Linked DNA regions of Nothobranchius furzeri. The main gene of each other region encodes a partner of the protein of the gene in region 2 in a complex. Links are inferred from orthologs where the notes say so. Each region holds a gene or a part of one and is shown on either strand. Other genes may lie near its edges.

Region 1 (4,494 bases), on a different chromosome or scaffold from region 2:
CTCGCGTAGGGAGTGAACTTCTGATTGATGACATTAACTTGTCTTCGATTTGTTTCTTGGGGTTTTCTTCCAGGTCCGTCTTCACCGCTCCGGTTTCTGATAACCTCCACTCCAGCTCTGGAAGAGAAGCACAGAAACACTTAAGCTGGAGAACAAGCAGATAAACAAAAACGATCAACAGCTCGTCAGAACGGTGGTAGTCAGACACGATGTTTAAACGTTGAAATCATCTCAGGTTTCTTATTACAGGGACGAGCCTAAACAGTAACTTGGTGAGTCTGGTCTGGTTTAATAAATCAGACCTACCTTCGACTTTGAGGTTCATGCCCCCAAACACCAGAGGACCGATGAACTGGGCCTTCATCTCCCCCTCAAAGTAAACAAAGATGGTGGGCAGGTTCCGGTCGGGGTAGTTGGGGATGCAGGTGGTGGAGATGGACTTAAGAAACTTGGTCTGAGGAAACTTCCTGGCCAGCGTGTTCAGGTGTTGGTTGATGAGGGTGCACAGAGGGATGCTGGGACAGAGAGACCAGGCGGATCGGTTAGTGCTGAAATCACCACACTGATTCAGATTCAGCAGCATGTTTTCTATACATAAAGCTTTCCAGATGTTTATGTAAAACATCCAGGTCTAGCTTTGGTCTTAACTCACCCCTGCTTGTAGAGGTGCAGCACCACCCATATTCCCTCTCCAGCCTTGTTGACCTCCTTGACGTAGTCCTGTCCAGAGATTTCCCCCAGTTCTCCAAAAGCGTTCTTTATCTGAGCCGCTTTCCACTCCGCAAGACGCTTCTGTCTGGAAGGAGATGCAGCTTGCATCAGCACACAGCCACGGAGAGAGAAATGCATCAGGAATAGAAGAAATTATAAGATTCAGAATTAAAGCGTTGACTTGATTTCCTAGATGTAATCGAGTAAAAACCAACCATATGGGAAAGAGATTTTATTTTTACTGGTGGATGACGGTGGCTCAGGAGTTAAGTGCTCGCCCCGTAATCGGAAGGTTGCAGGTTTGAGCCCCGCTCAGTCTGTCGCTGTCGCTGTGTCCTTGGGCAAGATACTTAACCCACGTTGCCTGCTGGTGGTGGTCGGAGGGACCGGTGGCGCCTGTGCTCGGCAGCCTCACCTCTGTCAGTGTGCCCCAGGGCAGCTGTGGCTACATCGTAGCTCATCCCCACCAGTGTGTGAATGTGTGTGTGAATGGGTGAATGACTGATTGTGGGGTTCCAGAACTCTAGAAGGCACCATATCAGATACAGGCCATTTACTAGGGATGCACCGACATGACGTTTTTGGGCCGATATTGATTTTTACATAACTGTTATGTCTGATACCGATTTATGCTTCTGAAATCAGCAAATTTTGTATAGACTGACATTATGTAAGCCGAATTTGTGAATATTTTGCTATTTTTCTATAAAATGGAATTTGCAAGATGTTATTCACACACACACACACACACACACACACACAGTCACAGGACTAAACTAAACACATCCTCACCCTCTCAAACAGATACACAAACGGAAACAAGATGGAAAAAATTTGGGTTTTTAATGTCAGCCCCGTTTTACTTATTGGACCAATACCGATATGTTCAAAAATGACTAACATCGGCTGATACCGATATATTGTGCATCCCTAAATTTCACCAGGGTTTTGTTTTGTCAAATGTACAATAAAGTGCATCAGGCACCAAAAACCCGACAGATAGTTATTGAGTTTTGATCGCCCAGTTCTCCTGTTGAACCACTTACCTGTACATCTCAATGGCAGCTTCATCCTCCTCTCCAAACTCGTCTTCGTTCTCCTCCAGCTCATCCAGAGTCATACTCTCATATGTTTTAACTGCACAAACAGCAGACGGCCTCTAATCCACAAATAATCTTACAATTTCTGATTTTATGGGATTGAGATAAGCACAAACATAAAATAATATGACTAATGTAAAAAAGTATGTTAAAATATGAAAATACATTTAAAATCAATGTGGGTGAAACCCTTAAACAGTCATGTTGAAGCCTTCATACCGACAGATTGTTGCTGGAGGGCCAGCTCCTCCTCCTCTTCATCCTCTTTAGGAACTTCTTTGGGGGGGAGGATGCCTTTCTTCCTCAGGATATCGTTCCACTCCGTGTCTTCATTTGGGTTCTTTTGATGAAAACATAATTAATCATTCACACAACGACAAATGTAATAGAATTAATTATAACTTCTGTTTGTGTCTGTCTAACAACTATAAGCTTAAAAAACAAATCAGATGATTTAATTACTGAAAATACATTATAGCTATTGGCCATCAGTAGCCTTTAATAAAACGTGCTTCATTTTATGTAATTAAACACTTTTATTTCATCTGCAACGAAAACAATGAGGATAATGAAAGTGAGGGCCAATAATCAACAGTTAGGCACGTGGCACTTCTACTTTAATTGACATGTTTCAGGAAAAGAAGAAAAGTCCAAATGGTTTAACCAAAATCTGTGTTCAGACTCACGGACATTTATATAAGTCAGTGAACATTTAAAGCGAACTTTAGTTTGAATATTCAAAAAAGACAATTTAAACCCACGATCTGTGGGGGTTTTTGTCCAAAAGTAAAGGACGGATTAAACAAAACTTTTCACATCTCTTCGGTTTTACTTGATATTATTCTCCTGCTCAGGGATCTGATTAAACTGTTAACACGACAACGACACGCCCATTGCTACTTTGTTCAACGATAAAAACATGTACACATAATTTTCACCACCGTTGAACCGCCACTTTCGCTAACGAAAGCTGTTTAAAATCCAAACAAAACCAAACAAACCTGCATTTTGACAAATGAAAGAGTCCCTTCTAAACCACACCACTGCTCCTTTCCAAACCGGAAACAGAAGGAAGTCCGCGTGGGCAGATCCGGCAGAAACAAGAAACTGTAGATTTTATTTTAATCTACTTAGCCCGGAAATGCTGTCATTTAAATTGAATAGTATTGTGAAGCGAATAGAAATATTTTTATTTAAAATACTGTAAAGTAATCAGCGATTTCGAAACAAAAAATAAAAGAGGAATATTTAATTGTGTGGAAAGACAATAATACAAGTAACACCAACTTCCTGCGAGGTGCGATATGACCACATAAGGAAAGAGAGAGAAGCAATCCATTTGTAGCAGCTGGGAACGGAACCAGACAGGTGCTATTCAGGAAGGCCGGTACCGGACCCGAACCTGCCTCTCTCCGTTTTACTGAATTAAAAAAATAACATTTCACTGGGTAAAATAAAACACATCGACAATATTTGCTAATGGAAAATGTTTGCTGATAATAACAGTGTACTACATTCCCAAAGTGCAAAAACAAGTGGATTTAATTAGTGCTCGTTGTTTTCACTATTTACGAAACCAATATTACAGCTCCAAAATGAACGGGTTCTCTGTCATTTATCGAGTTTTTTCTTCAAGTTGCTCATTTATTAATTAACCACACGACATTTGAGTTGTTTCTATTAGTTGTTAAATAAATCATAACAACAATTCAGCGGAGAAAACAGGTTAGACCAAACTTGATCAGGTAAACCTTGATATTTCCTAGAACACCAGATTAGTGAAGAACGTTAACCTTCTGTTGGATAAATGTCGCCCTCGTGTGGCTGATTTAAGTTTTTACTACATGTTGGCTAAATCAGTTTCTAATGCTTGTAATGCAAAAACCAATCTTAATTAGAAATAAAAACAGCTCATTTAATTACAGAAGTATTATTTAGGGTTTACACAAACACGTGCGCGCGCACACAGATTAAAAAATGACGCCCTTTTCAAAAGTACTCTAATTCAACGAGCCTTAATGTTTTATTGATTCACATTCGAGTTTTTCCTAAATTACACTAAATTAATTTGTGTAAAAATGTTTCTAGCAAAAAGCAAAATCATTTAAACAAATTATAATTCTCTGAATATAATCTGTTTAAGGTCTCAGTTTTAATCTAATCACATACACAATGGTAGGTTATTTATTATAAATGAATTAATTTGGTTTCTTTTTGTGTGCTATTTATAACCACCACCGCATCCAATGAGGAAAGGGCAAGAAAATTTTTACCGGAACTCGTGGAAGGGAAAGTTGGTGAAGAGAGAAAATAAAAATAGGGAGGTCTCACTCTGACATTGTTTTTAAAAGCCATCACGTTTCTTTCACGCGATGTGAAGTTCAAATTTACAGTTTTCTCTGAGAAAAACTTTTATCATTCTTTTAACATTAACCATTGGTCTGTTAATTATTCATCTTTTGTTTTGTCTTCAGAAATAAAATTAATATATATAAAAAAAGAAATGCATGCTTAATCCCTTGATGGCAGCTCGCTATTTGTTATTAAATTGCATTCATACCATTGACCTAATCTCTGTATTGTATCTGGTGAAAATAAATCTAATTATGGGTTTGTTTAAAACCATCATGAGAACCAACCCAAACCACTAATAATCAATGGGTTAAACGCTATTTAGAAAACA
Region 2 (4,615 bases):
ATACTGATTTATATAATCTGGTTATGTTCTAAGACAAAGAAGCAGCTCACTATACCTGGCTCTCCCCCTTTTTGTACTCCAGAGAACAGTCCAGCAGGAGGATACGGGGATTTTTGATCATTCGCCTCATTCTTGGGTGAGTCACATCTTTGTTCACCATCACTCCTTTCAGCACACAGGAATCCTCGATGATTCCACCTGGAACCTGAACACAACACGGGAGATGTGAGACAAAAGAATGAATGCAATTAATGCAGGAAACACTTGATCTTCTGTTCTAACCTAAAGTGATCAGGTGTAATGAGCAACAGTCGTACCTTCTCTACTTTGGCGTACTTCTTGATGTCAATCTCTTTGCGCCCGTTCTCTTCCAGCTCCACCGTACGAACGGCGTCCAGCGCGATGTTGCAGGCCAGCTCCGACCAGCGGCTCAGAGCTTTGGTGTTGATGGCAGAGTGAACAATCTTCAGCATCATGGAGCGGTCTGAAGTGTCCACGGGGATGCTGGAGGAGGACAACAATATTCAGTCAAACTTCCTGTACAAGTTTCACAAAATTAACTCATTCATAAATGTGTAATGTTATTTCTAAGCTGCTGTTTGGTTGGCTTACAACAAATCAAAAATAATTATAATGTAACAAGGAGGCGATGGAAACTGTCAGACTCTACCTGATTTCCTTCAGTGTGTCCAACATGTCCTCCAGAGCCTGTCTGTAAGCACTGATGATCACTGTTGGATGCATCTGCTGCTCCAGAAACTGTTCAGCTACAGCCAACATCTCTCCAGCTGAAATTTGAGACATTAAATGACGGATGTTAAATAAAACAAACTGAATTCCCTCTAAAGGGGAAGTCTGAGCTTCTTTAGATTAAAAATAAAGCTTTTATACCCAGTATGATGACTGATGTGGTCCCATCTCCCACCTCTTCATCCTGTGTGCGACTGATCTCGATCATCGACTTGGCTGCGGGATGCTGTACCTGAATCTGTTGCCATGGAGAAGCAGGATGTTATGAAACACTGAAGGAATTGATGAAGTGACAAACTTCCAAGTGTTTATGTGACCCTGACCTCTCGGAGGATGGCATTTCCATCGTTTGTCATTACGATTCCTCCTGTAGGGTCAAGCAACATCTAGACAAAATGACATGAAAACATGGAATATTACGGACTTATTTTATTTTTGTAAATGACTGGGTGCGGTGATTCTCTGTATAGACAAACTCACCTTCATCATGGCCCGTGGGCCGAGGCAGGTCCTGATCACATCGGCTATGGTCTAAAATAGATTGCACAAGAACAATATATGTAAGGGCTGGGGGAATAAAACAATTTTAAAACAAATGAAGCATTTTTCTCTTCAGAGACTGATCTCAGTCTATTAAGAGGAATTTCTACTCTAGTCTGGCCTTTTCTTTCCCAGCTACTCAACGTCTCCATATTAAAAACAAAAAAACAGCCTAGATTGGCTAATCTCAAACATTAAACAGTTTTCTTCCGCACTCAAAAGACAGATGAGACTGTCTAACACAAGCTTTAACGTTTTACAGCAACAACTGACCTTTGCTGCATTGATGTTTCCAGTTTGGACTTTACGTCCTGATTCTCTCTTCACATTCTGGTCTAAAAAGAGACAAGAAAACAGAGAAATCACTACAGAGTCACCTAATTGAAGGGTGTTTTTGCTTCAAAACACAGATAGCCATTATTTCGAGTGACCCAATTAAATGACTAGCAATTCGAAATTGTTGGTTTTAAAGAAGTAATTTATCAGTATGGTTAGCAATCCCATGCCTGCCAGATCGATAACAAACCAACACATTACATTAAAAAAAATCAATAAAAACAGCTGTGTATAAATATGTGACAGATCATTTTTGACAAATGTCCAACACTGTTAAAATGCTTCAAAATTAATGAATATGATTTACCAGTCACGTAGGCCAAAGTGCATCTATGACTAGAATCCTTTGTAGTAAATTATTCTCCTTACTAACTGAGTTGTTGCATCTTTATTTAAAATCAATTTTGTTGGATTGTATCATTAAACTAGTAATATCTATACAGCTAAATAAAACATTTTCTTATTGCATTCCAAATAAAATGAGTGTTTCGAATATTTAAATAATTTTTTTGTTGTCGTAATTTTTTTATTATGTTATACTCTTCTTTTTAGCTCCTATAATGAATTTAATTGCTGCTGTGACACCAAAATCCCCCCACTGAGGGAGCTATCTATTCTAGTCTAAAATAATTGTAAAGACAAAATGGACGGAATATACCAGTACAGATAGAGCTTTCGTGATTTCAGACACTATGAATGAATGAATTTTGATTTTTGCAGGATAACAATGCTGTCAATTCGCAATTACAGGCTATCAAATAGATCAATCGAAATCGGAATGTATTAAAGCGGATGCTTATTTTGTTGTTCAGTTCAGTCACAGCGCACACACAAAACTAATTCAAAATCGTGTTTAATAGCTGCATCAAAGGTAATTTCATGTCTTTTTTAATTATTATATAATGTTCGCAGTTGTCTAACTGCACGCTCATGATGAGTAAGAGGACTGTTAGCTTAAGCTAGCCTAGCCTAGCATACCTACACGCTTTCCGCTACTTCCGAACACGAGCTAAATATGCTAATGATGCCGGTTGGGTGTGGATGCTATCAGTAGCATGTAGGCTAACAATGCTAATACCGGTGGAAGAAGCTGATGCTCGGCTGAGTTATAACAGTTGGTTAGCGCATCCTTAGCTGCTTTGTGTCCCAGCCGATCTGCCCCGCGTTCAAACGGTCACAAAATTGACTAAATTGCAGAAACTGGCGGGAAGTAACCGACATCTAACTATTGAAAGTATAGTTAAGAACAAATTTCGATACTTACTAAGCACTAAAACCTGCTGGCCGAGCATTTTGAGACCACGACGCTAACAGCACTAGCCTCGAAGGTTCTGGGTGGCACGAGGAGAGGGACGGCTCAGACAAAATGGGCAAGACATTACTTGAGGTCCGGCCAATTAGCAAAGACTATTATTTTTGATTGACATGCGCATTCACCAATAGAGTGAATGAGGTAAACTCTTCTAGTAATAGGCCTTTTATGGAGAAAACCTAATAGAAATAGAACCCACAACGATTTAGCAAAAAAAAAAAAAAATTTTTTTTACGAAGATTGAAAATGACTTTTATGTGTTTTAACACTCGTGGAACTTGCAAAGTTTGTTCAGTTGATCCCAGCTATTATTATTAAGCTTTATTACAACACACAGGCATGGAAATAATGGTTGAGCAAACTCAGGCACACTGAAGTATAATTTAAAAATTAAATTTCTTTTTAAATCCCATCATAAAAACAACGGCTGAAAACAATTTTACAAAAGCTATTAAGGCGTATTAATTCATGAGAATTTAATTAACAGTCAGTTGTCAAGCATGGTTTTATTACATAATCTCAGCAGAGCTTCTCAACATAACAAAGCTCACAAAATAACCAAAGACTGCCAAAGTATAAGTAATTAAGTCAATAAATAAATAAATAAATAAAAACTAAACACAGCACCAAATACAAACTGCACAGATGGTATTATATCAAAATGCATTTAGTTTTCTGGAATAAAAAAACAAAGAATTGCACATGAAATGGCTTTATAAATGAATAAATATATAAATAGTTCTATTCAGCAAGGACATGGTTTTAGAGGGGAGTATGGAAAGAATCTGATTGGTAGAAACAAAAATGGGTGGACCATGTCCTGATTCGTTGTTTCTGGTGTGTCACCAGGAGCAGAGCTCTTGCTGCCCATTCATGTCTGTGTAGCTGTTACAAGACTTGATCTTTTTGTTAATCAAAGTCAGTTCTGATCAGTAGGTGAATCTTTGTCACAGTTCGTCCTTAAACCCAGTCAGCACCAGACCATGACTCGCCTCACTCTTCAGGAACTTTAGGAAGTCTTTGAGCTCTCGAGTGCCCTGAAATCAAGATGTCCCACAACCATTAGACATCATGTGTCTCAAAGATTGATGAACTCAAGCTGAAACTATTAAAACTTGGTACCTGGTATCGAATGGGCTCATCCTTTTTACCCACTGGAGCAAAATAGATGGTTGGAAACCTGGAGAGAAGAATAAAATCATAGGAAATAAAGACTCATGAATTTTCTTCTTTAAAAGTGCTCATCAACATCGTCATCCTCACCCTTGGACATCGTATCCCAGTGGGATGTCATTATAGACGGCGTTCATCTTGGCAATGACAATGTTTGGGTCAGAATGCAACTGAGAACACATAAAGAGCATTTTCAGATTACTATCAGAGCAACACGACCTAATTCTAGAGTTTAGTGCACTGAAACTTAATCAAAAATACAATAAAGCTGTGTACCGTGTCAGCCAGCTCTCTGTAGACCGGCTCCAGCTTCTTGCAGTGTGGACATAGCGGGGAAAAAAACTGAATCAGAACATCTTTAGCAGGATCGTTCACGATTTCATCAAATGATTCTGCGACAACCACCTGCGGTGTTGAAGACAAAAGGAGGTCAGCACAAATTTTTTACAATCAGTATTTACAATCAGTCACGCTCACAAGCAGCTCAGCTCACCTTAACAGGAG

The links.
Region 1: the proteins of cct3 (region 2) and pdcl3 are in contact, whole or in part, in a cryo-EM structure (PDB 8I6J), measured with the Homo sapiens proteins. The link is inferred for Nothobranchius furzeri from reciprocal best matches to the Homo sapiens genes CCT3 and PDCL3. Residues at the interface, in NP_005989.3 of Homo sapiens: Met47, Pro53, Met54, Val58, Met59, Thr60, Asn61, Asp62, Ala65, Arg68, Glu69, Arg167, Ile258, Glu261, Phe264, Leu268, Gln269, Glu271, Ser297, Asp298, Leu299, His302, Ser380, Glu382, Ile383, Arg389; in NP_076970.1 of Homo sapiens: Glu66, Ala70, Met73, Tyr74, Arg75, Arg77, Arg78, Trp82, Leu182, Pro212, Lys213, Ile216, Glu217, Asp218, Val219, Arg226, Leu229, Met230.

The regions. Positions count from the first base shown.
Region 1 is NC_091754.1:32,212,293-32,216,786, reverse strand, and holds the start of pdcl3 (phosducin-like protein 3), read right to left. Parts: upstream 2,933-4,494; 5' UTR 2,819-2,932; coding exon 2,813-2,818; intron 2,152-2,812; coding exon 2,031-2,151; intron 1,849-2,030; coding exon 1,758-1,848; intron 797-1,757; coding exon 653-796; intron 516-652; coding exon 307-515; intron 118-306; coding exon 1-117. UniProt on the Homo sapiens protein: Acts as a chaperone for the angiogenic VEGF receptor KDR/VEGFR2, increasing its abundance by inhibiting its ubiquitination and degradation.
Region 2 is NC_091759.1:9,430,671-9,435,285, forward strand, and holds the start of cct3 (T-complex protein 1 subunit gamma), read right to left. Parts: upstream 3,022-4,615; 5' UTR 2,919-3,021; coding exon 2,891-2,918; intron 1,626-2,890; coding exon 1,564-1,625; intron 1,282-1,563; coding exon 1,231-1,281; intron 1,137-1,230; coding exon 1,074-1,136; intron 989-1,073; coding exon 892-988; intron 789-891; coding exon 671-788; intron 505-670; coding exon 318-504; intron 206-317; coding exon 56-205; intron 1-55. Other genes in the region: pdia8 (protein disulfide-isomerase A3), read right to left, coding at 3,886-3,975, 4,061-4,118, 4,202-4,281, 4,388-4,516, 4,605-4,615. UniProt on the Homo sapiens protein: Component of the chaperonin-containing T-complex (TRiC), a molecular chaperone complex that assists the folding of actin, tubulin and other proteins upon ATP hydrolysis.